5 linked regions of the Macaca fascicularis genome follow. The protein of the gene in region 1 binds, or shares a complex with, the protein of each later gene. Links are inferred from orthologs where the notes say so. Each region holds a gene or a part of one and is shown in the gene's direction. Other genes may lie near its edges. The genes, in order: PPP2R2A, RBL1, IER5, PABIR1 and ARPP19.

Region 1 (5,320 bases):
GAGGCTGAGTTGGGCGGATCACTTGAGCCCAGGAAGTCGAGACCAGGCTGGGCAATAGAGCAAGACCCCATTTTTTTTAAAAAAAAAAACACACACGCATTTTTTTAGAAGTATTTTTCATTCTGTGACTTGCCTTCTCATTTTTTTGAATAGTATATTTTTATAAATAGAGATTATTAATATAATACAGTTGATCAGTATTTTTCTTAGGGTTACTGGTTTTTCTGTCCTGTATAAGAAATACTTTTCAACTCCAAGGTCCGGGAAATTGTTCCCATTACGTTTTAGAACTGGATGATTCGTACTGTAGCCACTAGATCCATGTGGCTATTTAAATTAATGGGGAATTGAGTCTGTTCTCTCTCCCCCGCTGCAAGACCCTGTTGCAGTGGTCCCTGTCTCCATGGCCCTCTTTAAATAAAGTCAGCCTTACCACCTTATAAATAAATAAATACATTTAAATTGTTAAAAATAAATTGTAGAATTAACTTCCTTAGTTGCAGTAGCCACATTTTCAGTGCTCAGTGTGTGCCTAGTGCTCAACTTGACTAGTGGCAAAACCATACTGGACAACACAGATACAGACGATTTCTATCATTGCAGAAAAGTTCTCTTGGGTTGTGTTATCCTAGGACTTGATTATTGTACCTTCACATTTATATCTCTTATTCATCTGTAATCACTTTATGTGAGTGGTTTAGGGAAGGGGTCGAGCTTCATTTTATTTCCTATGAATAGTCAACCTATTCACTAGTCAACACCATTTAGTGAAAAGACCATCCTTTCCCCATTGCCCAGCAAGGCAACCTTTGTCATCATTTAGGCCTGTTTCTGGGCCATCTGTTCTGTTTCATTGGCACATTGGTCTATCCTCGTGCCAGTACACAGTCTTTATGACTTTGCTTTAAAACTTGGTTATGATGCCCTTTAGTGAATTCTCTTTGCATCTGTGTTGAAAATGTGTGATACTGGTTTTGTGTCCTGTGCTTGTAATGTATGTAAAGTATGTGACATACCTCATTCTAAGTCCTGCTTTGAAAATCTTTATTGAATGCCTGTTACATGTGCCAGGTACTGTTATAGGTGCTGGGGAATAAAGCACATCTAAACTTACCGTAGAAACTTTCATGCAAATAGATTGTATGGTTAGGAAGATGATTCTCATAGTGATCATAAAGGCAAGCAAGAAAAGAGAGGGAGGTGAAAATGCTGTGCAGGTAAAGCCAGTATACATTGTTGAAGGATGTGTCACAATTCTGTATGACTGTAGGAGAGGTTTTTAAAACAAAAACGTTGTTTGATTTTGATGCATTCTCATTTGAGTGGCTCAGTGTTGAGTATCTGGTTATGTTTCTTTTATTTCAGGCTTGCTCACTGTCCTTTGTTCGTGCGGGGAACAATGCTATCATGGTCATTATAATCTAAACATCCCCTCCCAAAGTGTTAGGGAAAATCTGTTGCAGCTTTCTGCAGTCTACTGTCAGTTACCACTTGTACCCATGTTTTATAGCCTCTTCTGTTTTGTTACTGCTGCTGTCATTTCTGCCATTACTCTTTGTCCTGTGGACTTGTTTTTAAAAGTTCTGTTATGATAATTTTAGTAAAGTTTCAGAGGAGAGGGGAGGCTAGTGCATGTGCTTAGCCTGGCATCTTGAGCTTTTTAGACAGAATTTTCTCCTTTTATGATACATATATTTATTTCCTGTTGCAAAGAGATGGAACTTCTTGCAGTCTATTGAAACTGCCATATATCTCTATGATTTTGTTTTTGGATTCTGTAAGAGATCATGTTTAGTAGACTCATGTTGTTGTCCATGAGTCTACAGGAAGATGTTCATGTTCTGTTTCAGAAAATATTTCTGTAGTTTTGTGCTTTTCTTAACTCATCAAATACAATGTGTGGCTTGCCCTTGGCCCTTCATACTGCTTACCTTAATTGTGTAGACCATAACCAGTTTCTACTTTGACTGAAGTTTGACGTACACAGGTCACTTGAATGTGGGGATTCTGTCTATCCCTCTACGCCCTAGTGTACAAGGTGCTATATACTATAGTCTCTTTAAGTGTTAGATGAAAAACCAGTCTAAAACGCAGGGTTTATATTAAAAATCGAGTTGCCTGCTTAATGGTATTGTGTTTTCCTTGTAGAGTGTAATGATAAACTTTGTGAGACTGGGTGAGTCATTTTAGGTAGAAGATATGTGGAGCTTTCAGGTGACACTGGAGTATTTATATATGTTAATGGAATAGGCTGTCTAATTTGGTGTGTGGGTATGGTGATGAGACCAAGGCTCTGAGTCTGATTTTTACCCCTTGTGTGTCCCCAGTATGTGGATCGTTTTGTGGGACACTGCATTCTTAACACTGGCAGACTTGCCCTCTAATAACTGATACTGCTGTCCAAAGGTTTAAATACAACCATCCATGAATGAACAACCCAGATCGTCAGGCTGCTGGAAAAAACAACCCAAAACGTAGACTTTCAAGATGATTCGGTGAAGTTTCCTTTTGATATGGAGAATAGTAATAGGCTAAGAAGTCGTAAACATTTCACTGGATAACTCACTTTTACTTAAAATAGTTGACAATAATAATCTCATTCTTTTATTTAAACTTTTTCCATAGGTGGTTCTCTGAACTAGTTTTAAATTTTTTTATGAAAATGTTTTTAATCGTGTGATAAAAGATGAAATTCTGAATATTATAATTCTCACTTTTGCTGAGATATTAATGCTAACCAAAGTAGTTCATAAGTAGTCCCTTTACGAGATAGCTTAAATTATGTTCTTTCAAAGTAATACTAAATGAAATTAATCATCAGTGTGTGCCAGGTTCATAAGATGAGAAAGCAAATTAAAGGCGAGTAAGTAGTAGTTGATGGGGTGCATGGGGCTATTGCTGGGTGGTGCTGAATATGGACTTGATTGGTGACAAAGCTGTCTGGAACAGCAGTCTTGGGGTGGGAGGCAGGGGTCAAATGGGATCCCTTCATTTATAAGAGCCCTTTTTTTAAGCTTTCAGCAGCGAAATAACCAAAAGGCAGGCATCAGAAAGGAAAAGGAGACAGTACATCATATTAAGTAACAGATTGGGGAGTTGACCCTAAAGTGGGCAGAGAAAGAAGGTGTGCTTCATCTAGCTCTTTCTGGGCAAGCCTTTCTTTAGTCATTACTCTTTAGATGAACTCCCTTATTATGGGTGCTCAGTTTTTTTCATTGGTATGCCTCTATACCATCAAAGCAATCAGATTGATCCATATTTAACATCATTATTTCCCTAATGAATGAGCTTATTTATTCAGTGTTATTTAGCCTTTTTTCCCCTTTAAGTTTTCTCATTTAATCCTTGAAGGCCTTTAGAAATATAAAAAATAGAATATAATTGTATAAAGACACAGCTAATGGGCTATCGAGAATTTGCAGGGTCCTTTGGAATTGATTACATATTTGATTATTTTGAAATATTTTTCAACAATGGTCCATATATTTTTGTTTTCATTTTAGAACAAAATCCAGTCTCATAGCAGAGGAGAATATAATGTTTACAGCACCTTCCAGAGCCATGAACCAGAGTTTGACTACTTGAAAAGTTTAGAAATAGAAGAAAAGATCAACAAAATTAGGTGGTTACCCCAGAAAAATGCTGCTCAGTTTTTATTGTCTACCAATGGTAAGTATATGTATTTTCTTTCCATGTGCCCACTGTGTGTACTTGTTGCACATAATCCTGTAGACTAGGAGAGGAATCATTTAACAGAGATAATTTTAAAAAGGACTTTTTTTCTATACAGAATATAAACTCTACTTTTTTACTGTTCACTTGCAGTTTTTAGATTCTCTGAAAGATTCTCAGATAGCAATTTTTTGTTTACTACACCCCCAATTTGTAGCGAAAAGAATGGGCTGCTATACCATTGGATTTAGGTCAGGTACTATTTCTGCTATTTCTCAGTCTCCTAATCTTGGGCAGGTTACTAACACTGAATTGAATTTTCCTCAGCAGCGAAGTAGAGAGAGTAATTTTTTATTATAGTATTATGAATATTAAGTAACTCTTCACATATGTCATGAGTGCAAGTGCTCAATAAATGTTAATTTATTCCTCCTTTTTAAGTGTTCCTGAACTCTACACAGAGTATTTCTAACTGCAGATACAAAATAATACTCAAAGGATGGTCTTCATTCAGAGCACTCTTCTTACTTGACTACCTATTAGCATATTGCCTTCTTCCCAGCAATCCACATCGCTGGAAGGAGATTCCTCTCCTACTGTTTTACTTGCCCAGGGAGAGGTTTTTGTTGTTTTTTGAGACAATGTCTGTCGCCTAGGCTGGAGTGCAGTGGTGTAATCACAGCTCACTGCAACCTCGATCTCCCCACCTCAGTCTCCTGAGTAGCTGGGACCCACAGGTGCATGCCACCACATCAGGCTAATTTTTTTAAAACATTTTTTGTAGAGATTGGGTCTCCCGATGTTGCCCAGGCTGGTCTTGAACTCCTGGGCTCAAGCAGTCTGTCCCCCTCCTCAGTCTCCCAAAGTACTGGGATTACAGGTGTGAGCCACCATGCCTGGCCCAAGAAAAGTTAAGTGAGGATTAAAAGTTAGTAATGACTCTACCAGAATTTGAAATCCTTTATGATAAGTTGGGTTCTTTTTCTTTGTTCTTATAAAAAACTTTTCCCGTGAATTGTTTGGACTTCGTTGGAGTCTTGAGTCTGAAGGGAATCATTAGAGTGACTGAGGAGATACTTTAGTTTCTTGGTAGCTGTAGTCTATAAAAATGTGTGATTAAAACTTTTTTGAGGTTGGTGCTAGGGTGAGGGGAAACCTCCTCCTATTTTCTCATTCCCTCACTATTAATTTAAAAAGCAAATTTTAACACCTAGACCATAACCATTTGCAGAATATAAACTTAAATGACTTTGGGGATGAAATAGGGGAAGAAATTCAGCACTTCCTCCATCTAATTGATGCCCTTGGTCCACAGTATGAGTTCTTAAAAATGCTGTTCACAAATGTCTGATGCCATCAGTGTTGGCCGCCTTTTAGATGCCCAGTTTTCTGATCATGAAAGCTCTCCCCAGCCAGTCCATTGGGATTCGTACCCTCTGCCTTCTCTCTTTCCACAATAAACTGCATTCCCCTCTCTTGTCCTTATTAGAAGAACAATAAACAGAAGTAACTATTTAAAGCCTGTAACTCAGCAGCATGGGTGGAGGGAACAGTTTACTCCTATCATGTGCTAGCTTCTAGTCTGGGGTCAGTTTTAATTTATATGGTAAACTAAGTTACTTCAAATAGCTTCAGATATTTTGTTCTT
Region 2 (5,320 bases), on another chromosome or scaffold:
CATAAGGAGACCCTGTCTCTACAAAAAGTAAAAAAAAATTAGCCTGGTGTGGCAGCATTCACCTGTAGTCCCAGCTACTCGGGAGGCTGAGGCAAGAGGATCAAGAACCTGTCATAAAAACAAAACAAAAAGAAATAATTTTAATTGATCCATATAATGAGAATAACCTAGAAGAGCTGTTAACATACCAGTATCCTTTGGAACAGTGTTTCCCAGAATGGTAGTATAAGTGTTTTGGGGGATCCAGGTGCAGTGGTTTACGCCTGTAATCCCAGCACTTTGGGAGGCCGAGACGGGCGGATCACGAGGTCAGGAGATCGAGACCATCCTGGCTAATATGGTGAAACCCCGTCTCTACTAAAAAATACAAAAAACTAGCCGGGCGAGGTGGTGGGCGCCTGTAGTCCCAGCTACTCGGGAGGCTGAGGCAGGAGAATGGCATAAACCCGGGAGGCGGAGCTTGCAGTGAGCTGAGATCCGGCCACTGCACTCCAGCCTGGGCGACAGAGCGAGACTCCGTCTCAAAAAAAAAAAAAAAAAAAAAAATTGGGGAAGTATGGAATTAAAGTGAACATGAGAGTTTTTTTTTTTTTCCCAAACTGCAGTACTTCTCAGAGCCTTATACTAACATGCATTTCTGAATTTCTAATATAATGTACAGCATTTCCTCAACTTTATTTAACCACATAGCTCCCCTCCCCTCCCACCCTAGTCAAGATCCTTTAGAAATAGCAGAAGTGAAAGAGACATCCAAATTAAGACTGAGATCCCCCGGGGCCGTTTGGTCTTTGAACCATGTTTGTGTTTTCTGGTTTTCCTAAGGTGAAGGCATTGCTTCTACCCATGTTCTCAATGTTTGTAGGCCAGTGAATTGAGAATGAGAACTTTTTTCAAATAAATGCTAAATTATTTTTAATTGGTAGTGGTTTTCTTAACTCTTCTAAACACATGGTTCTTGTATATACAAGCAAATGATAGTTTGTAATACTCTATAATACTTTTCCTTCCCCAAAAAATAGTAGGACAAATTTCTGCCTAGTTTCACAAGCTATCCCAGAGTTGCACCATTAAGTAGGAAACTACGTTGGGGCAAGCTGTTATTTTACTATTGGGGGTGCTCAGTAAAACCTGAACACTGGTTCCTGATCAGAGTTCCTGTTGTACGTGGTACAATAAGGCTCTTAGAACACCTGTCACCTGCCATGTATTTGCAGAGAAATAAATGTAATTCATTTTGCTTCTTCCCTAACCTCTCAGGATATGCTTTACCTTTTAGAATCTTTCCACCTTTCTCAAAGACACAAGAAGAATATCTGCAGGCCTTTTAGTTTTATGAAGCTGAGGTTTGCCACTGCCTCCCATACTGTAGAACTTAGATAACACCAGCTCAGGGCTGTTGCCCCTCTAAAAGCCACTAATGACAGTCAGCTCAAAAGCTATGGTTGTGAAAACATTCTGAAGTGGCATCTAGAGAAGAGAGCACCACCTTCAATTGATATGTTTGCATTTCTCTAGATTCCAATTTGACTTATAAGTAATACAGATGGATTTCTGAACCTTCTCTGAAAATATTAATTTCTCTATGTAAAGACTTGTGAGTTTTTTTTAATATTGTAGAAAGGTAATTTAAATTGCTGACTTGTATATTAAAGTATGCTTTGTGGCTGGGCATGGTGGCTCACGCCTGTAATCCCTGCACTTTGAGAGGCTGAGGCTGGCAGATCACTTGAGCCCAGGAGTTGGAAACCATCCTGGGCAACATGGAAATATTGCCGTCTCTACTAAAAATAAACGCCGTCTCTACTAAAAATAAAAAATAGCCAGGCATGGTGGTGCGTGCCTGTAGTCCCAGCTACTCAGGAGGCTGAGGTGGGAGGATCACTTGAATCCAGGAGGTTGGGGTTGCAGTGAGCCAACATTGCACCACTGCACTCCACCCTGGGTGACAAAGTGAGACCCTGTCTCAAAAAAAATAAAATAAAAAGTATGCTTTGTATCACAACATTGCATTCTTTTTAACAGACTTGGAAGATGCTACAAAAACACCTGACTGTTCCAGTGGACCAGTGAAAGAGGAAAGAGGTGATCTTATAAAATTTTACAATACAATATATGTAGGAAGAGTGAAGTCATTTGCACTGAAATACGACTTGTCAAATCAGGACCATGTGGTATGTTTTATGTTTTACTACTTTATTATTATTCGCTGTCATAGTTGAATTACTGTAAGTTTATTTTGCTAGATAAGTATGTCAAAGTAAAATTACTAGCAATTAATCAGAGCATGACTAGTAACTTAATCGGTGATTAAGGCTATGGTACAACAGAGACCAGAGGAAATCATGGAATCTGTTGCCCTGGCTACAGTGCAGTGGTGAGATCCTGGCTCACTGCAACCTTTGCTTCCAGGGCTCAAGCGATGCTCCCACCCCAGCCTCCCAAGTAGCTGGTAGGACAGCTGCGTGCCACCACCACGCCTGGCTAATTTTTTTGTATTTTTAGTAGATACAGGGTTTCACCATGTTGGCCAGGCTGGTCTGGAACTCCTGGACTTAAGCAATCTACCCACCTCAGACTCCCAAAGTGATGGGATTACAGGTGTGAAACACCACGCCTGGCAGAAATTTTATCTATACCATGATTATGTTACTAGAAATTCCGTGTACATATGGGTAAGAACTTGATGGGAACATGAATATTAAAACAATTAATTTGTTTGTATTTATTTATTTATTTATTTTGAGACAGAGTCTCACCCCGTCACCCAGGCTGGAGTGCAATGGCATGATCTCAGCTCAACTGCAACCTCCGCCTCCCAGGTTCAAGTGATTCTCCTGCCTCAGCCTCCCCAGTAGCTGGTATTACAGGAGCATGTCACTACACCTGGCTAATTTTTTGTATCTTTAGTAGAGACAGGGTTTCACCATGTTGGTCAGGCTGGTCTTGAACTCCTGACCTCGTGATCCGCCCACCTCAGCCTCCCAGAGTGCTGGGATTATAGGCATGAGCCACTGCGCCCAGCAAATTTGGTAAATTTTTCTGTTGTTACATTGTGAGATTAATGTTTTTCTCAAGTTAAAGACAGAAGGGGCCAGGTGTGGTGGCTCATGCCTGTAATCCCAGCACTTTGGGAGACCGAGGTGGGTGGATCACCAGAGGACAGGAGTTCAAGACCAGCCTGGCCAACATGGTGAAATCCCATCTCTACCAAAAATTAGGTGGCGTGGTGGCAGGCACCTGTAATCCCAGCTACTCGGGAGGCTGAGGCAGGAGAATCACTTGAACCCAGGAAGCAGAGGTTGTAGTGAGCAGAAATTGTGCCACTGCACTCCAGCCTGGGTGACAAGAAGGAAACTCCATCTCAAAAAAAAAAAAAAAAGACAAAAGGAGGTCAGGCGCTGTGGCTCATGCCTGTAATCCCAGTGCTTTGGGAGGCCGAGGCAGGTGGATCACGTGAGGTCAGGAGTTCAAGACCAGCCTGGTCAACATGGTGAAACCCCATCTCTACTAAAAATACAAAAATTAGCCGGGCATGGTGGTAGGCACCCGTAATCCCAGCTACGTGAGAGGCTAAGACAGGAGAATCACTTGAATCCGAGAGGCAGAGTTGCAGTGAGCCAAGATTGCACCATTGCACACCAGCCTGGACAACAGAGCAAGACTCCGTCTCAAAAAAAAAAAGGCAAAAGGAAGTAGATAGGCCTGGATCATTAATAGAGGCACCACTAAGAAATTTTTATGCAGGCCAGGCGTGGTGGCTCACGGTTGTGATCCCAGCACTCTGGGAGGCCAAGGCAGGCGGATCACGAGGTCAGGAGATTGAGACCATCCTGGCTAACACAGTGAAACCCTGTCTCTACTGAAAAGACAAAAAAAAAAATTAGCCAGGCATAGTGGCGGGCGCCTGTAGTCCCAGCTTCTAGGGAGGCTGAGGCAGGAGAATGGCGTGAACCGGGGAGGTGGAGCTTGCGGTGAGCCAAGATCATGCCACTGCACTCCAGCCCAAGCAACAGAGCGAGACTCCGTCTCAAAAAAAAAAAAAAATTATGCAGACCCCAGTTTTGGCAGTCGCAGCAGGCCTGAGAAAGTGTTACCAGTGTGTAAGCTGAGGTTGCTTCCCAGAAGACCAGACTTTAGCTCTAAGAAAAAGAGACCAGCCAGGCACTTCCCAAGCCTGTAATCCCAGCACTTTGGGAAGCTAAGCCTGGAGGATTGCTTGAGCCCAGGAATTTGAGACCAGCCTGGAAAAATAAGAAGGCCCTGTCTCTTTAAAAAAAAAAAAAAACTCTACAAATTAGCCATGTAGTGGCTGGTATACACCCAAGTAGTGGTCCCAACTACTCAGCAAGCTAAGGTAGGAGGATCGCTTGGGCCCAGGAGGTCAAGGCTGCAATGAACCACAGTCGCATCACTGCACTCCAGTCTGGGCAACAGAGCAAGACCCTGCCTCAAAAAAAGAAAAGAAAAGAAGGCCCTAGCAGAAGCTGCAGCCAGCCAGCCAATAGCTGTTTCTATGTATCTGTGTGCATCTGTACATTTCTGTTCTTCCTCTTTTCATGGAATATGGTCTATGACTATCCTCAGAGGTCATAACTGTTCATCCTACTCCAGTTTCACTTCCCCTCTGTCTATATACTCTGAATATCTCTACCATCTTAATTTATTTCCATTATACAGGATATTAAAGAAAATGAAATCCTTGCTCATCCAACTTATTTCTAAATATTTTCCATTTCCATATGAAGTGTTTCCCATTTCATTAACAGATTTTTTTCCATGTCAGAATCATTCTGCTGGCTTATAGAATTCTCTGCCTCTTTTATTCTCTCTGCTACTGCTTTGGTTGTGGGGTAGAGAGAGATTTTGTGTGTGTGTAGAGAGAGATTGTTATAGCAAGTGTTAGAAGATTGGTTATTCTTTGTCCCTACTTTTTTTTTTTTTTTTTTTTTTTGGAGAAGGAGTCTCGCTCTGTTGCCCAGGCTGGAGTACAGTGGCCACAGTCTTGGCTCACTGCAACCTCCACCTCCCGGCTTCAGGCAATTCTGTGCCTCAGCCTCCTGAGTAGCTGGCATTACAGGCGCCTGTCACCACGCCCAGCTGATTTTCGTATTTTTAGTAGAGACAGGATTTCACCATCTTGGCCAGGCTGGTCTTGAACTCTTGACCTCATGATCCACCCACCTCGGCCTCCCAAAGTGCTGGGATTACAAGCGTGAGCCACCCTGCCCAGCCTGTCCTTACTTTTTAAGCATGAATATGAGGTTCTCGTGCTCGTGGCTTAACTCCTGGTGTCTTGTCCAGAATTTTTTTTTTTTCTTTT
Region 3 (5,718 bases), on another chromosome or scaffold:
CATGCAGCCTCGGCCTCTGCTTCTAGTCTTTCCCACTTGCTTTTGGGCATGCCCCCAGCGCAACTGCAAAATAAGATGTTCCCTACACTGGACTCTGTTGCTCCTGCTGCTTGGAACTTGTGGATCCTACCTCAGAGGTTTTCAGCACCCTCTTCAGATACAACTTCTTCGGTGAAACTTTCTTCCATCTATGTTCCTTTCTTCTCCCAGCCTCTTCTCCCACCCCAAGGTAGTATGTGGGGTAATGTGTTCTGAGAACTAGCCTACATTGATAGCTTATTGTATGCCAGGTGCTGTTCTGTGAGCTTTGCATGTGCTACCTTGTTCTATCCTCACAAAAACTCTTAAGAGGTAGGCACTATTATTATTATATTTATTTTTATGTTTTTTTATTCTACTTTTTGAGACCGAATCTCACTCTGTTGCCCAGGCTGGAGTACAATGGCGTGATCTCAGCTCACTGCATCCTCTGTCTCCTGGGTTCAAGCCATTCTCCTGCCTCAGCCTCCCGGGTAGCTGGGATTACAGGTACCTGCCACCATGTGAGGCTAATTACTGTATTTTTTTTTAGTAGAGACAGGGTTTCACCATATTGGCCAGGCTGGTCTTGAACTCCTGACCTCAAGTGATCCACCTGCCTTGGCCTTCCAAAGTGCTAGGATTACAGGAGTGAGTCACCACACCCAGCTGATTATTTTGTAATAAAAAAGACAGCAGCACAGAGAAGTGAAATAATTTTCCAGAGGCCATGCAGCAAGTGAACGGAGAAGCTGGGATTCCAAGCCAGGAAGCCGGCCTCCACAGCCTGTGCTCTTAGCCATTGCTTTATAGTGACTAACAACTTGCAAAGAAAAAGACAAGAGAAAAATTCTTGCATTATTACTTAATATATGCTACTTGGTTTTGTAATTTTTGTGTCATTATTTTATCTCTTTCTCTGCATGGGCTGAAAATTCCTAGAGGGGGGAGGAACTGGGTCTCAGAGCCTGCAGTCTCAGTTACCATCAGTTGTGGGCACAGGTAATGCTACTGAGCCATCACATCTTCTGGAGATTGTCAATTGGTCATGATCAAGCCCACCCTTCACTGGTATTTTTCCTAAATAAATTCATTGCTTGGCCAATCCCTGGGGCAGGATCAGGCCCAGGGTTCCACATGGACTCCAAGAAAGCAGTGCTTAGTTTTCTCATTCAGTTTGTGGCTGAGAAGTTGTCATTTATCGTCTGTACAATAAAGCAGATGTGTATGTGACTTCCCCTTTTCAGCGGTGGAGACACTGAAGCGGTCTGAGGTTATTTACCCAGAGTCCTCAGGCAGGTCTGTGGTGGAGCTTCGGTGGAACTAACTGGAAGTGACTCCATGTTTCCAGTCCAGGACCCTGGGCAACCCTGTGGTAATTGTGCCCTGATATAAGGACCAGTAGATGGACTACATTGTTGACTGACCAGAAAATTCTGGAACTCCCTAGCGCTGTATTTTTACCTTGACACAAAATGAAATTATGACATCATCATGGGAACACAGGACTTCTTTCTTTTTATTTTCAGACCTTGCTCGATTTTTCCAAGGGTTGACTGATCAGTCCTTGTAATGGAAAAATGGAAATGGGAAAAAAATCATTGTGGAGAACCTGTAACATCTTCCATTTAACCTATTTGATAACTGGCTTTGTTCCAGAATCTAGAGAACAAAGTGAAAGATGCCGGCTTTAGAGGGCAACCAGTAACTTTGTATCTAGACACAATTCCTTGATAAGAAGCCAAGAACCTAGCCAAAAACTTTTAGAATCCCCTTTTTCTTTGGTGTTAGAACTGACAGCTGCTAAGAGTGTATGTGACTCTAGCGGGGAAAGCGGCTCATCCAAAAATAATGACAGCCAAATACTTTGCAGTAATACTATTTGTTATCCAGGGGTGTCCTCCGCCGCGTATAGCCACCATCTCTATTTTTGCCAGGGTTGAGGGGAATCGCTTACAGGTGTGGCGGGCCTGGAAATGGTGGCGTGGCCGGTTAGGGCGGAGTTGATCAGGAAAAGATCAGGACTTTATGGCAGAACAGAGTCCAACACCGTGCTCGGAAGAAAGTTCGAATATTTTGTTCGCTTTGGTTCCGGCAAGCCATCGCACAAGCCAGAATCTGTAACTCCAAACAGTAGCGCCCTCGAGCACGGTCCCGAGCACGGTCCCCAGCACGGTCCCCAACACTCACTCCCCATCGGCCTGGTCTCCGCCCGCAATCCGTCGCCCCCTTTAAGAGCTTGCTCCGCGGGACTAACGTTCGAACGGGCCTTGGCGCCCCTCCTCGGGCTCCGATTGGCCGTGCGCGGCGCACGAGGGCGCGCCGGCCAGCCCCGGAACGGTTGGCGGCCCTTCGTGATTGGCGGTCGAGGAGTCTATATAAGGCGCGGGGCGGCCGGGCTGCCCTGTTTAGCTACCGGACCCGAAACGGGGTAGTTGTCTGGTGTAGAGAGGTCTGCGGGGCAGTGAGCGCGCGTCACCGGAGTCATTTCTCTTCGGAGTCTTAGGTGATCAAGGGTGTGCCCACGGGGCGGACTTGTTTGCGCCTCCCGTTCCCTCCCAGTTTCCGAACGTAACACCCCGGCGCCGACGGCCCTGTGCAGGGGAGGCAGGATGGAGTTCAAGCTGGAGGCTCACCGAATCGTCAGCATCTCCCTGGGCAAGATCTACAACTCGCGGGTCCAGCGCGGCGGCATCAAGCTGCATAAGAACCTCCTGGTCTCGCTGGTGCTGCGCAGCGCCCGCCAGGTCTACCTGAGCGACCCGTGCCCCGGCCTCTACCTGGCCGGTCCCGCTGGGCTCCCGGCGCCGCCACCGCAGCAGCAGCCTGGGGAGCCGGCGGCCGGGCCACCCGCCGGCTGGGGAGAGCCGCCCCCGCCCGTCGCCCGTGCCTCTTGGCCGGAGACCGAGCCGCAACCGGAGCGCCCTTCCGTCTCACACGCGCCGCGGGTAGGGGACGAGGTGCCAGTGACCACGGTGACCGGAGTCGGGGACGTTCTTCAGGGCGGAGAGGCGGACGCGACGGAAGCTGCCTGGAGCCGCGTGGAGCGGCCGCGCCAGGCGGCGGCCGGAGAAGCCGAGGGTCCCGCCGGAGGCTGGGGCGTCTTCCCCGAGGGATCGCTTGCCGCGCGCCGCCCCTGCGGCTGCCCCCTAGGCGGGGAGGACCCGCCGGGTACACCGGCCGCGACCCCCCGCACTGCCTGCTGCTGCGCGCCGCGACCAGCCGAGGACGAGCCCCCCGCGCCGCCCGCAGTGTGCCCCAGGAAGCGCGGCGCGGCGGGGGTGGGCGGCGGCCCAGCGGGCTGCCCGGCGCCCGGCTCGACCCCGCTCAAGAAGCCCCGCCGGAACTTAGAGCAGCCGCCGAGTGGAGGAGAGGACGACGACGCGGAGGAGATGGAGACCGGGAACGTGGCTAACCTCATCAGCATCTTCGGTTCCAGTTTCTCGGGACTCCTACGGAAAAGCCCCGGGGGCGGCAGGGAGGAAGAGGAGGGAGAGGAGAGCGGCCCGGAAGCCGCCGAGCCCGGGCAGATCTGCTGCGATAAGCCGGTGCTGAGAGACATGAACCCCTGGAGCACAGCCATCGTGGCCTTCTGAGCCCTTGGCCCCCATGCGGGGAGGAGGTTGAGCAGCGGGCGTCCTCGAAGTGAGGGTCGGGCCCTTGCCGGCTGCGAGGACGCCCAGAGACCGCGGCCGCTGAGCGCGTTGGGCAGACTGGTTGCCGCTGGGCATCGCAAACTGCCCCCGGGCGCATCTGGCTTTTCTGGAGACCTGGGAGCTTGAGGCTCATTGGAAGAGGACGATCTTTAACTTTTTGTGTTTGTGTATGTCTGTGTATGTAAGTTTGTCTTGTGGCATTAAGACTATTTTGTTCTGGAATGCACCACTCCTTCCCCAGGGCTTAAGAGATTGGGGGCAGACAGGGACTTTCCTCTGCCGGCTGCGTGGAGAAGGAAGCGGCTAAAAGGTTTGGGCCGGGGAGTTCCCCATTCGTTCTCCGGGGAGGGAGGGACTTTACACCCACCCCTCACCGGAAAGCTAGACCCGCTTCAGGGCCAGGAGTGGCGTTTCCGCACAGGATTTCCTAAGACGAGAGGGATTTAGCCAGCAGCACAGACTTGGATTCCTTCTGTCCCTCCCCACCTTTCTCTCCCAATGAAGAAACGTTTATATCCTGTGATTACTCTAGGAAAGGGGCATATTAACCGTCCTTTGCTTCCCCGCAGGGGAGAAAAAGCTTGAACTTCACAGAAGAGTTCAAGCTTGGAAATAATGGAGTTTATAGAGAAAAGATATATTTTTAAAAGCTCTAGGTCAGAACTACTACACAGTGCTTTTAAAAAGTGTTTAATGAAAGTTTACAGACAGAAGCCCGAAGTGGAAAGACCTTATGGTTTTGTAGATATGGTGACTCCAGTCTTTGTTATATAAAGGTTGGGGGAGCTGATAAGGTTTTTGTACAGTATTTTCTCCTTCGTTGTATTGATTTTTGTATAAAAATGTAACTTCTACGTGTCTAACACGTATTAAATATTTTGAAGCAACGTAACTGCCTGCTTGTCTGCAATAACCTGCCTGGGTTGGGAGGGAAGTGGGAAGAGGGAAACCAGGGCCTGGGCTAGAAAATTGAAGGTGTGGTTCTTAATATCAGTCATTCGCAGACTGAGAACATTGTTTACTGACTCCACTAAGTATCAAGAGAGACACGTTTAATTTTTCCTCCTAGATCAGAGGAATGCTATTAGATACTAATATCAGCGACCTGCCAGGTTCTTGAAACCTACCGCTACAACTGGCTTTTCTAAGGTCGGTTTAGACCAATTTGTCACCCAATATGTGGGTGTATATTATTAAGTAATTTAACCATCAGCTTTTGAAGCCCTGCTTATCTGCAAAAATGTTTTTCAGCAAAACTTTGTTTCCTGTTAAGCTGTTAATATGGGTCATCTTTTAGCTTTGTAATTGAAAAAAAAAGTTTAGATAGTTTACCTTAAAAACCCATTCGAACTGACATAGGAAGATGAAAGAGACTGACTTGTCCAAATTGTCAGGTCCACCTCTGCATTACAGTGGATGTCAGGATGTAAATTTTCCATTTTTCTCTTATATCTAGAAAGTAAATGTATTGGTGAGAGGGAAATTGCTTGCATCAAACCAGATAAGGAAGGAGGGCTGGGCAACTTTAATTCTCATTTAGCAAAACTTCCTGCTTTGTTTTGTTACTCAAATGGTGACATCAGTGTTTGGTCATGGTAGACACTTAGATGATGATAGCCAAAACATGCATCGATTTTACTAAAATCACTGCCATTAAGAGCTGTTTGTCTCTTCATGTTCAGTGTTTGAAAGGTATTCAATAATCTATTTCAGAAGCAAATCAATTAGGGAATGGTGTTTAAAATACAGTACAGTTGCCAGGACTTTAAAAGGTGGTGCTGGTTTCTAACAACTTATGAGTATGTAGGGTGTTTAAAAGATGGGAGAGATTGAAGAAAGAGACAAAGGTTTAAAGGTCATAGCCTTCGAGTATAAGAGGCATATGAATGGTGTCTTGGCCTTAACTCCCAATTATATGAAATTCTGTTTTAGCTGAATAGGCCAGTGCCTCGTGACTTGATATTTCAGCAAATCTATTAGTGGTTCCTTAAGCATAGGGAACTTTCTACTTTACGCTCTCTCGCCATTATAATGTATTTATAGA
Region 4 (6,002 bases), on another chromosome or scaffold:
TATTAATTTTTTTGTAGACATTTCCTCCTCTCTCCTGTTTTCATTGAATAATTTGTAGCATGCTTTCAGCCACTTACAGTTGAACTTCAGTCATTTGTGTCTCCTGTTCATCCTCTGCACATCCACGCTGTTAGGTTCTGTTGTTGCCCGGTCTCCCAAATCTATCTCCTTCTTCTGCCTTTCCCAACTTTGGTTTTAGACCTTTCTTTCATCGCAGAATTAGCCATCCTTCTCTAATTCATGTGAAATTCTCTTTCTTTAATCCATGTGAAATTCAGAGAAAACAATACAGGTTTTCAAAATGAGTCCTTGATTCAAATTGGTTCAGATCTTTGTTCTTCCGTGTACTGACTGTAGTACCTTTTGCAGTTTTTGAACTTCAATCATTCCTTCACAAAATGAGCATAACAATATCTACGCAGTGAGGATTAAGTGGGATTATGGAGTGTTTAAAGTACCTAGCAGGGAGTAGGCACTTAGAAAATGTTGGTTCTTTCTACCTTCTGTTCTTCTGCTTCAGATCTCTTAATTTCTACAGCTCTAAATGTGCTCTTTTCCTCTCTCAGTAAATAATACTACCATCTCACCAGTTTAAATAAAACAAGCTATGAGTCCCCTTTGAATAATCTATTTCTTTCACAATCTAAATTTAATCCATCTGCAAATCCTATTGGTTCTAACTCAACACATAGCCTCAGTCTCTCTACTTCTCCCCATTGACACTGCTACAACCCTAGTCCAAGAATCTTATCTGTATTGTTGCCATAGGCCCTGAATTCATCCTTCTGCCTCCACTGTGGTCCTCTTTCAGCCTGTTTTCCACAGAGCCTAAGTGATATTTAAAACATAAACCAGATAATATCATTCCCCTGCTTAAAACCCTCCAGTGGCTTTTCATCATACTCAGAATGAGATCCAACTCTTACCCTCTGCTAACACTCGCCGCTCTTATGCTTCAGCAGCACTGCCCTTCTTTCTTTTTCCGCTTACTCAACAAACTCATGGCTGCCTCGGGCCTTAGCACTTGCTATTCTCTCTGCTTGGAATACTCATTCCCCAGATGTCCACGTGACTTGCTGCTGCTTGTCATTTAGATCTCAGCTCTAATTGTCCGCTGCCTTCTATCAGTAGTGCTCCATCACACCATCTTGTTTTTCCTAAGGCTTTACCACTATCTGAAAATAGCCTGCGTTTATTTCTGTATTTTCCCCTCAGTAAGAATTAAAAGTTCTCAGACTAGGGCCCATTTCCTAGCAGTGTTTGGCACATAGTAAGTATGCTGGAAAAAAAAAAAAAAACCTTGACTGAATAAATGAACAAATAAATTCACTTTTAATGAGCTATCAAGGTTTCATATTAATTACATGAGCCAAGAATAGTGTTTTTATTTTTAAAATGTGAGGACCTACTGGTTTTCCTTTAATCCTTCATACTTCACACATATGCTTGTGCTGGAACTATGACTGTAAATCAGTATCAGTACCATCCCCGGTTTTGGCTTTTTCCCCTAACCTAAACAGTTCTCATTTACTTTTCTCTCCATCTCCACTTCCACAGTCACCTTAGTGCAAATTACCATCCTCTCTGGCCTTTTTTCTGTAAGGTTTTAATCTCCCAGTATTTGTTCTCCAGACTGCAGGCCAGTGAGCTTTTCAGTTGCTATTATACCCATGCTTGAAAACCCTTTAAGTTTTCATTGTTCTCAAGATAAAGACCAGAATGTGGTCTGGTCCACCACCTCACGTCACGCCAGCCCTCACTCTCCACTCCAGGCCACACTTTCTCCTCCCCTCCTGGTTCCCGCCTGCCACCTGGCTGGGTCGCCCTTGCTTCCCGCTTCCTGCGAAGTTTTACATCGCACCCATTTCGCCCACTTCTTCGGATTTCAGGACACTGTTCCTTCCTCGAGGAAGCCCTCCCTGATTCGCAAGCGCCACTCCCCGTCATACAGCCCCACATCACCATGGGCCTCTCTTTCAGGGCTTTGTTCGTTTTATAAATATGTACTCCAGAATATGACAATCTTATTGACGTTCGTCAATGCCAGTTTGCGCTCAATAGCTATTTGCTGAAGGAATATACGGACTAGCGGCCCGACCACTCCTCGCCCCTCCCCTACCACTGCCGCGCAGATATTACGCATAAAGCAGGCGCCTCGAGGACGGACATCGCGAGCGCCTGCGCGAAGGGGTACGCATGCGCAGAGGGGCCAGCCCGCTGACAGATTCTCGGTGGCGGCGGCAGCGGCGGCGGCCCTGGACTGCGGGGAATGGGAATCCTAGGTCCCTGACTGAGCACCTCCCCCGCCTCCCTGCCCCCGACATGGCTCAGGAGAAGATGGAGCTAGACCTGGAGCTGCCTCCGGGTACGGGCGGGAGCCCGGCGGAGGGCGGCGGCAGCGGCGGCGGCGGGGGCCTCAGGAGGTCTAACAGCGCCCCCCTGATCCACGGCCTCAGTGACACTTCGCCGGTGTTCCAGGCCGAGGCGCCGAGCGCCAGGCGGAACAGCACAACGTTCCCGAGCCGCCACGGCCTGCTGCTACCGGCCTCCCCTGTCCGCATGCACAGCAGCCGCTTGCACCAGATCAAACAAGAAGAGGGTATGGACTTGATCAACCGAGAGACGGTCCACGAACGGGAGGTGCAGACCGCAATGCAGATAAGCCACTCCTGGGAGGAAAGTTTCAGCCTGAGTGACAACGACGTGGAGAAATCCGCCTCCCCCAAGCGCATCGATTTCATTCCTGTGTCACCGGCACCGTCACCCACTCGGGGAATTGGGAAGCAGTGTTTTTCGCCATCCTTGCAAAGTTTTGTAAGTAGCAACGGATTGCCTCCAAGCCCTATTCCCAGCCCAACGACCCGATTTACCACCCGGAGAAGCCAGAGCCCCATCAATTGCATTAGACCAAGTGTTCTTGGACCATTGAAAAGAAAATGTGAAATGGAAACTGATTATCAGCCAAAGAGATTTTTCCAGGGCATCACCAACATGCTTTCTTCTGACGTTGCACAGCTGTCAGATCCTGGTGTGTGTGTATCTTCGGATACCCTTGATGGAAACAGCAGCAGTGCCGGATCTTCTTGTAACTCACCAGCGAAAGTCAGCACTACCACCGACTCTCCTGTGTCACCTGCCCAAGCGGCTTCTCCATTTATTCCACTAGATGAACTTTCGTCTAAGTGATTCACTCATCCTGAGACTTTCTTTTTGCAGTGGAGAGAGAGAATAATCAAGTTGGGGCAAACACTGAACTTTGTCAATTAATTTGAGGCTATTTCCTATTCGACCCCTTTTCTTTTTTGAAATTTCCTGAAATGATGTTATTCTAGAGAACTTCTATGTCAGGTTCCTGCGGATACCTTTGAATTCAGTGTAGTAATATTTTCAGACGTTTCCCCAATAAGTGTGTTGAAGCATACATCTTTACGCTGCTACTATGTCTAAATACATATGTTATCCCTTGATTTTTTTAAATAATTGAGAGCTCTATTTATTTATGGGATTATTAAGTTCTGATGAAAATATAAATGTTGACTTAATCAGCATAGTAAACTGATGTTTAAAATTCCATACTTCATGCCCACACTAATTTTTAATGTTATTTTCAGTGGTTTGCCGATTTCCATTTGATGAAGAACTATACAGCTTAAAAAAAAAATACGTTAGTTATATCAATCTAGTGGTTGTCTGTTTTACCCAGGAATTCTTGGATATTTAGTTTTCTGGGTACCGAAGTGGGTGGGAGGGGGAATGATTAGAGAACAAATTATAAAAGTTTGCAACAAATCCTTTCAAATTAAGTATATAAAAGTAAACTTTTAAGGAAAACATTTTTAATGAGATTTTAATAGTAATTCTAGTCAGTCATACAACTATATTATAGAGAAAATAAAAATTTTCCTTTTTTTTTTTTTTTTTTAACCAGAAAGTGCATTTGCTTGGGTGCAATCCTAAAGTGAAATGGGACAGTGCCTTGCAGTCTTTGCCCACTGTACATAGGCTAAGGCTAAGCTCTTTGTACTACTGCAAACGTAAAAGTTTTTCAAATGTAGAAAATGTGTGGGAAGGCTTGTTGAACTTTGGCGCGCCCAGGTAAACAATACTCTCTCTCAATTGTTGATATACTTTAAAATATTCAGTTGTGCCTCAGTTCCAAAAATTATTGCCAACCAGGAGCCAGAGCAATTTTTGGCTACTTTTCTGCTCTGCCCATCTGTCACCTTACTGGTTTTCCCTTGTTCAGGAAGGAAGCAGCTGTTTCCTTGCCAACAGGTCCCTTCCTTCATCTCCCACCAAAGTAGGGCACCATTGATTAGACAAAGGTACAGTGTAACTTGGATTTCTGACAGCAACAACAGGACTGAATTGTTTAACCTCTGTGGTTAAAGCTACAGCTTGAGTTGACTGCCTTGGGGATGTCCATTAATTAAGGGGTGATGATTTGCAAGAGAAAATTAGTGGAGAGTCACATAGGTAAATCATTATTTAACTTAGGTTTTGCTAAAGGTAGAATAGTCGAATGTTCTTTTCTTTGCCTTTACAATTAAGACAATAAGAATAACAAAATTTTCTTAATATTCTTCCTTATACCTCATATAGCTTCCTTAACTAGATAGTTTGACAGAAAGAATGGCATACAAAGAGGAAAGGGGAAAAATGACTCAGAACAAGACAAAAGCTCTGACTTTTTAAAGTTATCACTTACAGAGACTAACAATTTTGTGGAATTTTTACGACTATGAAAATAAATGGAACTGGTCAACTCTTGATGGTTGCCTCAAGATGGAGTGAAATTGCATTGAGGGTAAGACTGTGTCCACAGGTTTAAAATTCTCTCTTCTGAGTAATAGTGTTCATGTGCTCCCATTCTCAACCTTGTTCTTCAAATTCAAACTTAAATAGTCTGACTTCTTGTTGGGTAACTTGCCCTGCCTCCAGAGGTATTTAAACTTCATTATCTTCAACACAGAAATTGTTAATCTTCTCACTTCACCTATTCTTGCATTATCTCAATTGATGTCATCACTAATTTCCTAAACTAGAAATCATGGAAGCATCTTTGACTTTTCCTTTTCTCTGTTGGATTAGCTTAATCACCAAGTCCTGTCAACTTCTGAAATGAATCTCAAATTTCTTCCCTTCTCTATCTGTTGCCCCTGATTTTGCCTTAAGTTTTTGCCTGAGTGATCTCCCAGGCTGTTTTCTGTCTCCTTTTGGTTCAGTCTTTATACTGCCTCTTGAGAAATCTTTCTAAAATTTAAACTTGATATTTTTCACCCTCTTGCTTGAAAACTTCATTTGCTTCCCCATTTCCTACTCTTTAAGGAATGATTTCTTTAGCCTCAGATAGAAGGTTCTTTATGATCTGGCCATATTCTGCAATAGCTTCAATCCTCTCCTCATCTCTGTTCCCGTATATGTCTGTCTTTCTTATTCTACAAACATTAGACCACTTGATATTCTTTAAATATGTCATACTTTCATGTATCTGTGCTTTGGGATAGATTGTTCCTTCTCCCTAAAATGCCATTCCTATCCTTTTCAGGGAGGCAAATTGCACGTGAGTTTAAGTAGAAGGCAATGTATACCTGCTGATTATAAAATATTTAAACAGTGTACATATGTATGTGGTTTTAAAAGTCTGCTTTTAACTATGTAAAAGTCATCTTCCCTTTCAACAGGTAACTTCTGTTAACAACTTGGTATATATTGTACAAGATGTGTTACTGGCATTTCCATGTATATATGTATATAAATGCAGGAAACCAACATGTCCTTGATACCTCTCTTCTTTTCTTTCTCCCATGTCTAATCATTCCTCAAGTCTTACTGATTTTATCAGCTGGAATCTATCTCCTTATTTCTACCTCTATTGCCACTCTGGTCCCGGCTACCAGCATTTCCCTCTTAGACTCCTGAAGCAACTTGCTAACTCCCACTTGTGCTCATCACACTCACTCTGGTCGGCTATCCTTTCATTCTCTATACAGCGCCTAGAG
Region 5 (5,836 bases), on another chromosome or scaffold:
AAGAAAAAAAGCTATGAAGGTGGAAGTTATTTCCTGGAGGCTGTATAAACCTAGAAGAGAAGGGGATCCAAGTACAGAACTGTTAGAATCCTCCCATTAAGAGGCAGGTTAAGATTCAACAGGGAGGTCAAGTAGGAGGAAATCCATGAGACAATAGTATCCTGGAGATCAAGAGAAGGGAGTTTTGAGAAACAGGGTGCTGGGGACCAGTGTGCAGTTTTACACATTAAGGTTCATAATGATGCAGAGTGGTGTTAGTTGGGAAAGAATGACTTTCCAGGCAGTCCTCATAGTGGAGCGTTGCCCATGGTGAATTCTCCATTTTACCAAAGTCTGCCCTCCAGAAATTCAAACTTCCCCTCCTGCGAGTGTCACTATCAGAAACAGATTCTTTTTATCCAAGGTCACATAGCCAATTAAAAAAAAAAGACCAGGTGTGGTGGCTCACGCCTATAATCCCAGCACTTTGGGAGGCCAAGGCGGGTGGATCACTTGAGGCCAGGAGTTCGAGACCAGCCTGAACAACACGGTGAAACCCTGTCTCTACTAAAAATACAAAAAATTATCTGGGTGTGATAGTAGGCAACTGTAATCCCAGCTACTTGGGAGGCTGAGGCAGAATTGCTCGAACCCAGGAGGCAGAGGTTGCAGTGAGCCGAGATTGCACCATTGCACTCCAGCCTGGGTGATCTGTCTGAAAAAGAAAAAGAAAAAAAAAACCTTTTTTTTTTTCTTTTTGTAGAGACAGAGATTCGCCATGTTGGCCAGGCTGGTCTTGAACTCCTGAGCTCAAGTGATTTGCCCACCTTGGCCTCCCAAACTGCTGGGATTACGAGTGAGCCACTGTGCCTGGCCACAGCAATTTTCTTGAGGCTGCATTTCATCATAAGTGTATGTCTATCAGATTTTAACCTAAGTTCACAAATACATTGATATAGGACATATACTAGAATGCCAGTCAATTTATTAATAAAAATACAATTGTTAAATGCTCCAGTTGGCCTAACTAGTGCATTCTTCTTTCTCTCTGCAGTTCTGCTTAAGGGAAAGGCAAATTTTCAGTATATTACTTTGTGAGTATAGAATGAGAACAAATATGTCGTTGATCTTATAGTTTCTCAGCTAGCCCAGCGTGAGACATTCGTAAGGGGTATCTTTGTCAAACAGTTGGCCTGTTGAACCATTTTACTTTCAATACTTCCTTGGCTGACAAACACCTTCCTTCGTTTCTCCAAAAGGAGTGCAATATTAACTCTTTTTGTTTTTCTAGTTGCAATTCTAGTGCAATTCTTCCTGTCTGAGATTCTACATCCTGGTTGAGTTTCGATGGTTTCCAAACTTATTATCCAAATTGCATTCATTTTCTGTGGTTTTTTACTAGTGTAACTCTTTGAGGGCAATTTTATTTCCAAGTTTCTGAAGGACATTTTGTTGGAACCGGCAAACATTGCCAGTAAATTCAGATATCAAGTAGAATGAGGATTCAATATGAAGCCGCAGGACTTGGCAAATGAAAGAGTCATTGGGGGAGCTCAATGCTAGCAGTTTCGGTAAGCTTGTGGGAGTGGACCCCCTGGGAGGGGACAAATGAATCTGAATTCCTTCGTTAGGTATCTAGGAAGTGCTGGACCCTCAGAGTAAAATATAAGTAATTACAGACGAGATCCCTGCCCTGGTGTGGCTTATCTGAGCAGGAAAGGTGACCTAAAGTCACGACAATTGTCTAATGATACAGTTCGTGTTGTTGAGGAACTGTACAGAGCTGTGACGGCCTTTAAGAGGTGGCCTAGTGTAGAGGTTTAGGAAGGAAAGGTTCTGAGGCGGAGACGTAGGACTGGAGATGTGAAGGCGTGGCAGAATGGAGGAAGGAGCTTTGGCGTGCGCAAAAGACAGCCTGTGTGGCTACAGAGCGGAGAGCGAGGAGAACGGAACTAGGCGAGGCTGGTTAAGTAAAAAGAGTAAAATAAAAAGCTCCTAGAACGAGGGGGCCAGAGTGAGCAGGAAAGGGCGGGGAGAGGCGGTTCCACTTAGAAACTACAATTCCCAGGAAGCATTAGGGAGCCACAGACGGATGTGAGGTGAGGCGGGAGCAGCGACCTTTGAAGGAAAAAAGGAAGTGTTTGAACGACAGCGAGCGGGAGAAGCGGGGTCAAGTAGGTATGGGCGCGGTGCTGGAGGGGCAGGCGGGCTCCGGCGTGCGAGGGCCTTGGCCAGCGGAGCGCTTCGCGGCTCCGTGTCGTCATAAGGCGGCGGCCATTTTTGCGGGCGGAGGCGGCCCGGCGGGCGCTGGGAGAGCTGGGCCGGGCGGCGGGCGGGCCTGAGGCGGCAGGCTGCCGGGTGGCCTCGGCCACCGGCTAATCGCATCTTTTCCCGGCGTCTCGTCTGCAGAGGGAGCACTATGTCTGCGGAAGTCCCCGAGGCAGCCTCCGCGGAGGAGCAGAAGGTGAGTGCGCGGGGCGTGGGGCGTGGGGCGTGGGCCCTGGGCCCTGGCCGGGTCCGGGTCTGGCGGGCGGCCTGCTCCTGCCGGGCGGAGGGGCGCGCCCTGCATGCGGGGCCGAGGCGCAAGAGGCCGAGGCTCCTGCGCCCCACCTTTGGCTTCCCGCAGTCACTGGCTGGCTGGTGCGCCGACGAACTGGGAGTTCCAGCGTGCCCCGCGTTTACTCCGAATCGTGCCTTTTCTTTTTTTTTTTTGAGACGGAGTCTGGCTCTGTCGCCGAATCGTGCCTTTTCTAACACCTCCGTGGGTCGCGGTGTTCCTCAGTCACTTACATTTACGCGAGCGCCCAGGACGCAGTCTGGGCGTAGAGCCTAAAGTTTTTTTGTGAGCGTCAGTTTGCTTAGGAAGTTTGATTTTTTTCTCTGAAGAACTCTCCAACTACTTGTATTGTAAGCGTGCGGTTTACGCTAAAGGCAGCCTCGTGTGCGGGCCGCGATGTGCGCCGGGCTTGGTATTTCAGGACCAACCCTTGTAACCATGGTCAGTGGGTACAGTCCGCCTTCAGTGCCTTCACCTGTAAAGGCGGAATCCTGGTGCTTGCCTCCCACGGCGGGGCGAGGCCTAGAGGAGGTGAGTCACCTGCAGTGTTCAGCGCAGTCTGTGCTGGAAAAGGTTGCAGTCAATGGAACTCAGATATGGTACTCGACTAAAAATCGAAAGGGTGGAAATTTAAAATTTTACTCACGAAATTAATCAGGGTTTTATTGGAAACATAGGAATATTTTTTAAACGCACTTGTGTCTTCCTGATGTAGGGGAATAGGCCAGGAGTGTCAGTGTGGTTCAAATGATGAATATCAAGACTTTCTATTTATCTAGGCTAGTGTTTGTCTCTCCCATTGTAATTATTTCCACCGCCCTGCTCTCCTAGGTAGGTGTGACTGGCCGAGAAGTGAGAAAGGGCCGAGGTATCCTGTTTCCTAAATTGTTTATCAACAATTTTTCTTACAAATCAGGTTGTGTTGTCGTTAAATACGATTTTGGTCTACTGCTTGACCTTCGTGCGGGTTTCTACTTAATGTTGCGCTTATGTCCTAATTAAGTTGGGAATTGGATTAGTGTTCTAAGGCCATTCCATATGTTCTTAAAATTGTGTTAACTTCTCTTGAGTTGGGGGCTTCTGTTAGGATGTTAAAGTAATTGAAAAGCGAGAAAATAACATATAGCATAGGTAAAAGTCCAAGTTACCACATGATTTGAGAATATCCAGTGAAAATAGATATTTTTACACATTACCAAAAAAATGAATTTGGGGGCAAAAAATACAAATGTTAAAGATTGCAATCTTAAAAGGAGTATCAAGTATCACCTGCTTATTGTAAAAATACTTGTTGTGTTCATTATTGCTTGAAATTTAGGAACCCTAAAAAATAAGTCCCTCTCTGTGGTGTTTTGCCTTAAACACTGACATCAAACTTAGCATTAACTTCTGGTGCACAGTAGTGTGCTGTGTAATTTTCTTTGATAAGTTCTGTTAGTGTGTTGCCAAAGTATGCAGTGTTGATTTCTAGAGTGTAAATACTTTTACTTGGAAAAGCCTAATGTATCTTTTAACAGTACTAAGGGTAGCTTGAACGTTTTCTCTTATTGATTGTCTACATTAAACATTTATTTAAGGTGCTTTGGTTTTAGCTGCTGTCATTAAAATCAACCAGTGTGTTAGGAATATAATGTTCCTTCTTAAATTCAGGATTGACTGTAAATGCTAAGTGCCTGTGGCATGGATAGTGTCCCTAACCATGAAGAAAATGTGCACAGTCACTTCTGTGTTCCTGTGGGCCAAATCACCTGTTTCTTCTATTTGGAAGATCAGTTCGATGACCTAAAAAATTGAGTTATTGTCTGTGTACCCAATTGACCTTCCACTTAAAGCCAAAGTATTCAGCTAAAAATACCTTTATAGTTTACTGGTAGGTTGCCTATTGCCTATTGCCTCTAAAGAATTAAGGTAGATAGCTGGGCCTTGCGTGGAGTAAAAGCTAAGTCACTTTCTCTATCTTGAGTGGTGTGTGCTCCCTTGGTAAGAGAAGAAAACCAGATAGATTCCTATCTTGTGTTAGGATACAATTAAATATGTACAAACATAAAAAATAAGTATAAACTCTTATCTCTTAACTTGTGTACCACTCTAAAACTAAAACAGCCAGGCGTGGTGGCTCTTGCCTATAATTCTGGCACTTTCGGAGGCTGAGGCAGGAGGATTGCTTGATGCCAGGAGTTTGAGACCAGCCTGGTCAACAGAGTAAGATTCTGTCTCTATAAAAAATAAAAATAGGACCGGCCCGGTGGCTCACGCCTGTAATCCCAACACTTTGGGAGGCCGAGAGGGGTGGATTACAAGGTCAGGAGATTGAGACCATCCTGGCCAACACGGTGAAACCCCGTCTCTATTAAAAATACAAAAATTAGCTGGTCGTGGTGGCGGGCGCCTGTAATCCCAGCTACTCGGGAGGCTGAGGCAGGAGAATGGCGTGAACCCGGGTAGCGGAGTTTGCAGTGAGCCGAGATCGCGCCACTGCACTCCAGCCTGGGCGACAGAGCGAGACTCTGTCTCAAAAAAAAAAAAAAATTTAATTAAATTGAATTAAAAATAAAAATAAAAATTAGCCAGGTGTGGTGGCATGCCTGTAGTCCCAGCTGCTGGGGAGGCTGAGGTGCAAGGATCACTTGAGACCAGGAGTTCGAGGCTACAGTGAGCTGCTTTAAAAATATTTTTTAAAAATTTAAAAGGCCTGTGCTGTGGCCCACACCTGTAATCCCAGCTACTCAGAAGACTGAGGCACAAGAATTGCTTGAACCCAGGAGGCAGAGGTTGAAGTGAGTTGAGATCATACCACTGTACTCCAGCCTGTGCAACGGAACAAGATTCTGTGTCAATAAATAAATAAATAAAATAAAATTTGGCCGGGCACGGTGACTCACACCTGTAATCCCAGCACTTTGGGAGGCCGAGGCTGGCGGATCATGAGGTCAGGAGTTCAAGAACAGCCTGGCCAATATGGTAAAACCCCATCTCTACTAAAAAATACAAAAATTATCCAGGTGTGGTGGCGCACACCTGTAGTTCCAGCTACTCTGGAGGCTGAGGCAGGAGAATGGCTTGAACCTGGAAGGTGGAGGTTGCAGTGAGTGGAGATTGTGCCACTGCACTCCAGCCTGGGCGACAGAGTGAAACTCTGTCTCAAAAAAATAAAATAAAATTTAAAACAGATTAAATACAAGCAAAGCCAGTCTAAATTTTTGATTGTGTGCTTGGTATTTTGCTGAAATTAAATTTCCAATGTATTTGGAATATGACAGCAATTGTTAAAAGTTAAGGGATTTTTTGAGTTTGTCAAGT

Evidence for each region.
Region 2: the proteins of PPP2R2A (region 1) and RBL1 are in contact, whole or in part, in a cryo-EM structure (PDB 9C6B), measured with the Homo sapiens proteins. The link is inferred for Macaca fascicularis from reciprocal best matches to the Homo sapiens genes PPP2R2A and RBL1. Residues at the interface, in NP_002708.1 of Homo sapiens: Lys88, Tyr178, His179, Asp197, Leu198, Met222, Glu223, Glu224, Leu225, Thr226, Glu227, Val228, Ser247, Arg278, Ser279, Phe280, Phe281, Ser282, Glu283, Ile284, Ser287, Tyr337, Phe343; in NP_002886.2 of Homo sapiens: Ser615, Pro616, Leu617, Met618, His619, Pro620, Arg621, Val622, Val625, Arg626, Ser629, Leu632.
Region 3: the proteins of PPP2R2A (region 1) and IER5 are in contact, whole or in part, in a cryo-EM structure (PDB 8UO5), measured with the Homo sapiens proteins. The link is inferred for Macaca fascicularis from reciprocal best matches to the Homo sapiens genes PPP2R2A and IER5. Residues at the interface, in NP_002708.1 of Homo sapiens: Glu91, Ile92, Glu93, Glu94, Asp116, Tyr178, His179, Asp197, Leu198, Met222, Leu225, Thr226, Glu227, Val228, Thr230, Ser247, Phe280, Phe281, Glu283, Ile284, Ser287, Cys334, Tyr337, Glu338, Asn339, Asp340, Phe343, Lys345; in NP_057629.2 of Homo sapiens: Ala7, Arg9, Ile10, Ile13, Ser14, Lys17, Arg25, Gly26, Lys29, Leu30, His31, Lys32, Leu34, Leu35, Val36, Leu38, Val39, Leu40, Arg41.
Region 4: the proteins of PPP2R2A (region 1) and PABIR1 are in contact, whole or in part, in a cryo-EM structure (PDB 8SO0), measured with the Homo sapiens proteins. The link is inferred for Macaca fascicularis from reciprocal best matches to the Homo sapiens genes PPP2R2A and PABIR1. Residues at the interface, in NP_002708.1 of Homo sapiens: Phe84, Leu87, Lys88, Ser89, Leu90, Tyr178, His179, Asp197, Met222, Glu223, Leu225, Thr226, Glu227, Val228, Tyr337, Asp340, Phe343; in NP_612206.5 of Homo sapiens: His81, Ser82, Ser83, Arg84, Leu85, Ile88, Lys89, Glu92, Arg99, Glu100, His103.
Region 5: the proteins of PPP2R2A (region 1) and ARPP19 are in contact, whole or in part, in a cryo-EM structure (PDB 8TTB), measured with the Homo sapiens proteins. The link is inferred for Macaca fascicularis from reciprocal best matches to the Homo sapiens genes PPP2R2A and ARPP19. Residues at the interface, in NP_002708.1 of Homo sapiens: Lys18, Gly19, Ala20, Asp23, Asp24, Asp29, Ile31, Thr45, Asp47, Gly49, Arg51, Val53, Phe55, Val73, Thr76, Gln78, Glu81, Pro82, Glu83, Phe84, Leu87, Lys88, Ser89, Glu91, Glu93, Tyr178, His179, Asp197, Leu198, Asn221; in NP_001293124.1 of Homo sapiens: Lys42, Pro43, Gly44, Ser46, Phe48, Leu49, Arg50, Arg52, Leu53, Lys55, Lys58, Tyr59, Phe60, Asp61, Lys75, Pro93, Asp97, Leu98, Pro99, Pro103, Leu105, Val106, Ala107, Ser108, Lys109, Leu110, Ala111.

The regions. Positions count from the first base shown.
Region 1 is NC_088382.1:29,540,775-29,546,094, forward strand, and holds part of PPP2R2A (serine/threonine-protein phosphatase 2A 55 kDa regulatory subunit B alpha isoform), read left to right. Parts: intron 1-3,503; coding exon 3,504-3,669; intron 3,670-5,320. UniProt on the Homo sapiens protein: Substrate-recognition subunit of protein phosphatase 2A (PP2A) that plays a key role in cell cycle by controlling mitosis entry and exit. Involved in chromosome clustering during late mitosis by mediating dephosphorylation of MKI67.
Region 2 is NC_088384.1:93,122,477-93,127,796, reverse strand, and holds part of RBL1 (retinoblastoma-like protein 1), read left to right. Parts: intron 1-2,022; coding exon 2,023-2,171; intron 2,172-5,320. UniProt on the Homo sapiens protein: Key regulator of entry into cell division. Directly involved in heterochromatin formation by maintaining overall chromatin structure and, in particular, that of constitutive heterochromatin by stabilizing histone methylation.
Region 3 is NC_088375.1:38,575,576-38,581,293, forward strand, and holds IER5 (immediate early response gene 5 protein), read left to right. Parts: upstream 1-2,424; 5' UTR 2,425-2,630; coding exon 2,631-3,614; 3' UTR 3,615-4,566; downstream 4,567-5,718. UniProt on the Homo sapiens protein: Plays a role as a transcription factor. Mediates positive transcriptional regulation of several chaperone genes during the heat shock response in a HSF1-dependent manner. Mediates negative transcriptional regulation of CDC25B expression.
Region 4 is NC_088389.1:99,502,019-99,508,020, forward strand, and holds PABIR1 (PPP2R1A-PPP2R2A-interacting phosphatase regulator 1), read left to right. Parts: upstream 1-2,222; 5' UTR 2,223-2,322; coding exon 2,323-3,186; 3' UTR 3,187-4,769; downstream 4,770-6,002. UniProt on the Homo sapiens protein: Acts as an inhibitor of serine/threonine-protein phosphatase 2A (PP2A) activity. Inhibits PP2A activity by blocking the substrate binding site on PPP2R2A and the active site of PPP2CA.
Region 5 is NC_088381.1:29,019,425-29,025,260, reverse strand, and holds the start of ARPP19 (cAMP-regulated phosphoprotein 19), read left to right. Parts: upstream 1-2,386; 5' UTR 2,387-2,398; coding exon of another isoform or gene 2,399-2,443; 5' UTR 2,444-2,932; coding exon 2,933-3,067; intron 3,068-5,836. UniProt on the Homo sapiens protein: Protein phosphatase inhibitor that specifically inhibits protein phosphatase 2A (PP2A) during mitosis. Inhibition of PP2A is enhanced when ARPP19 is phosphorylated.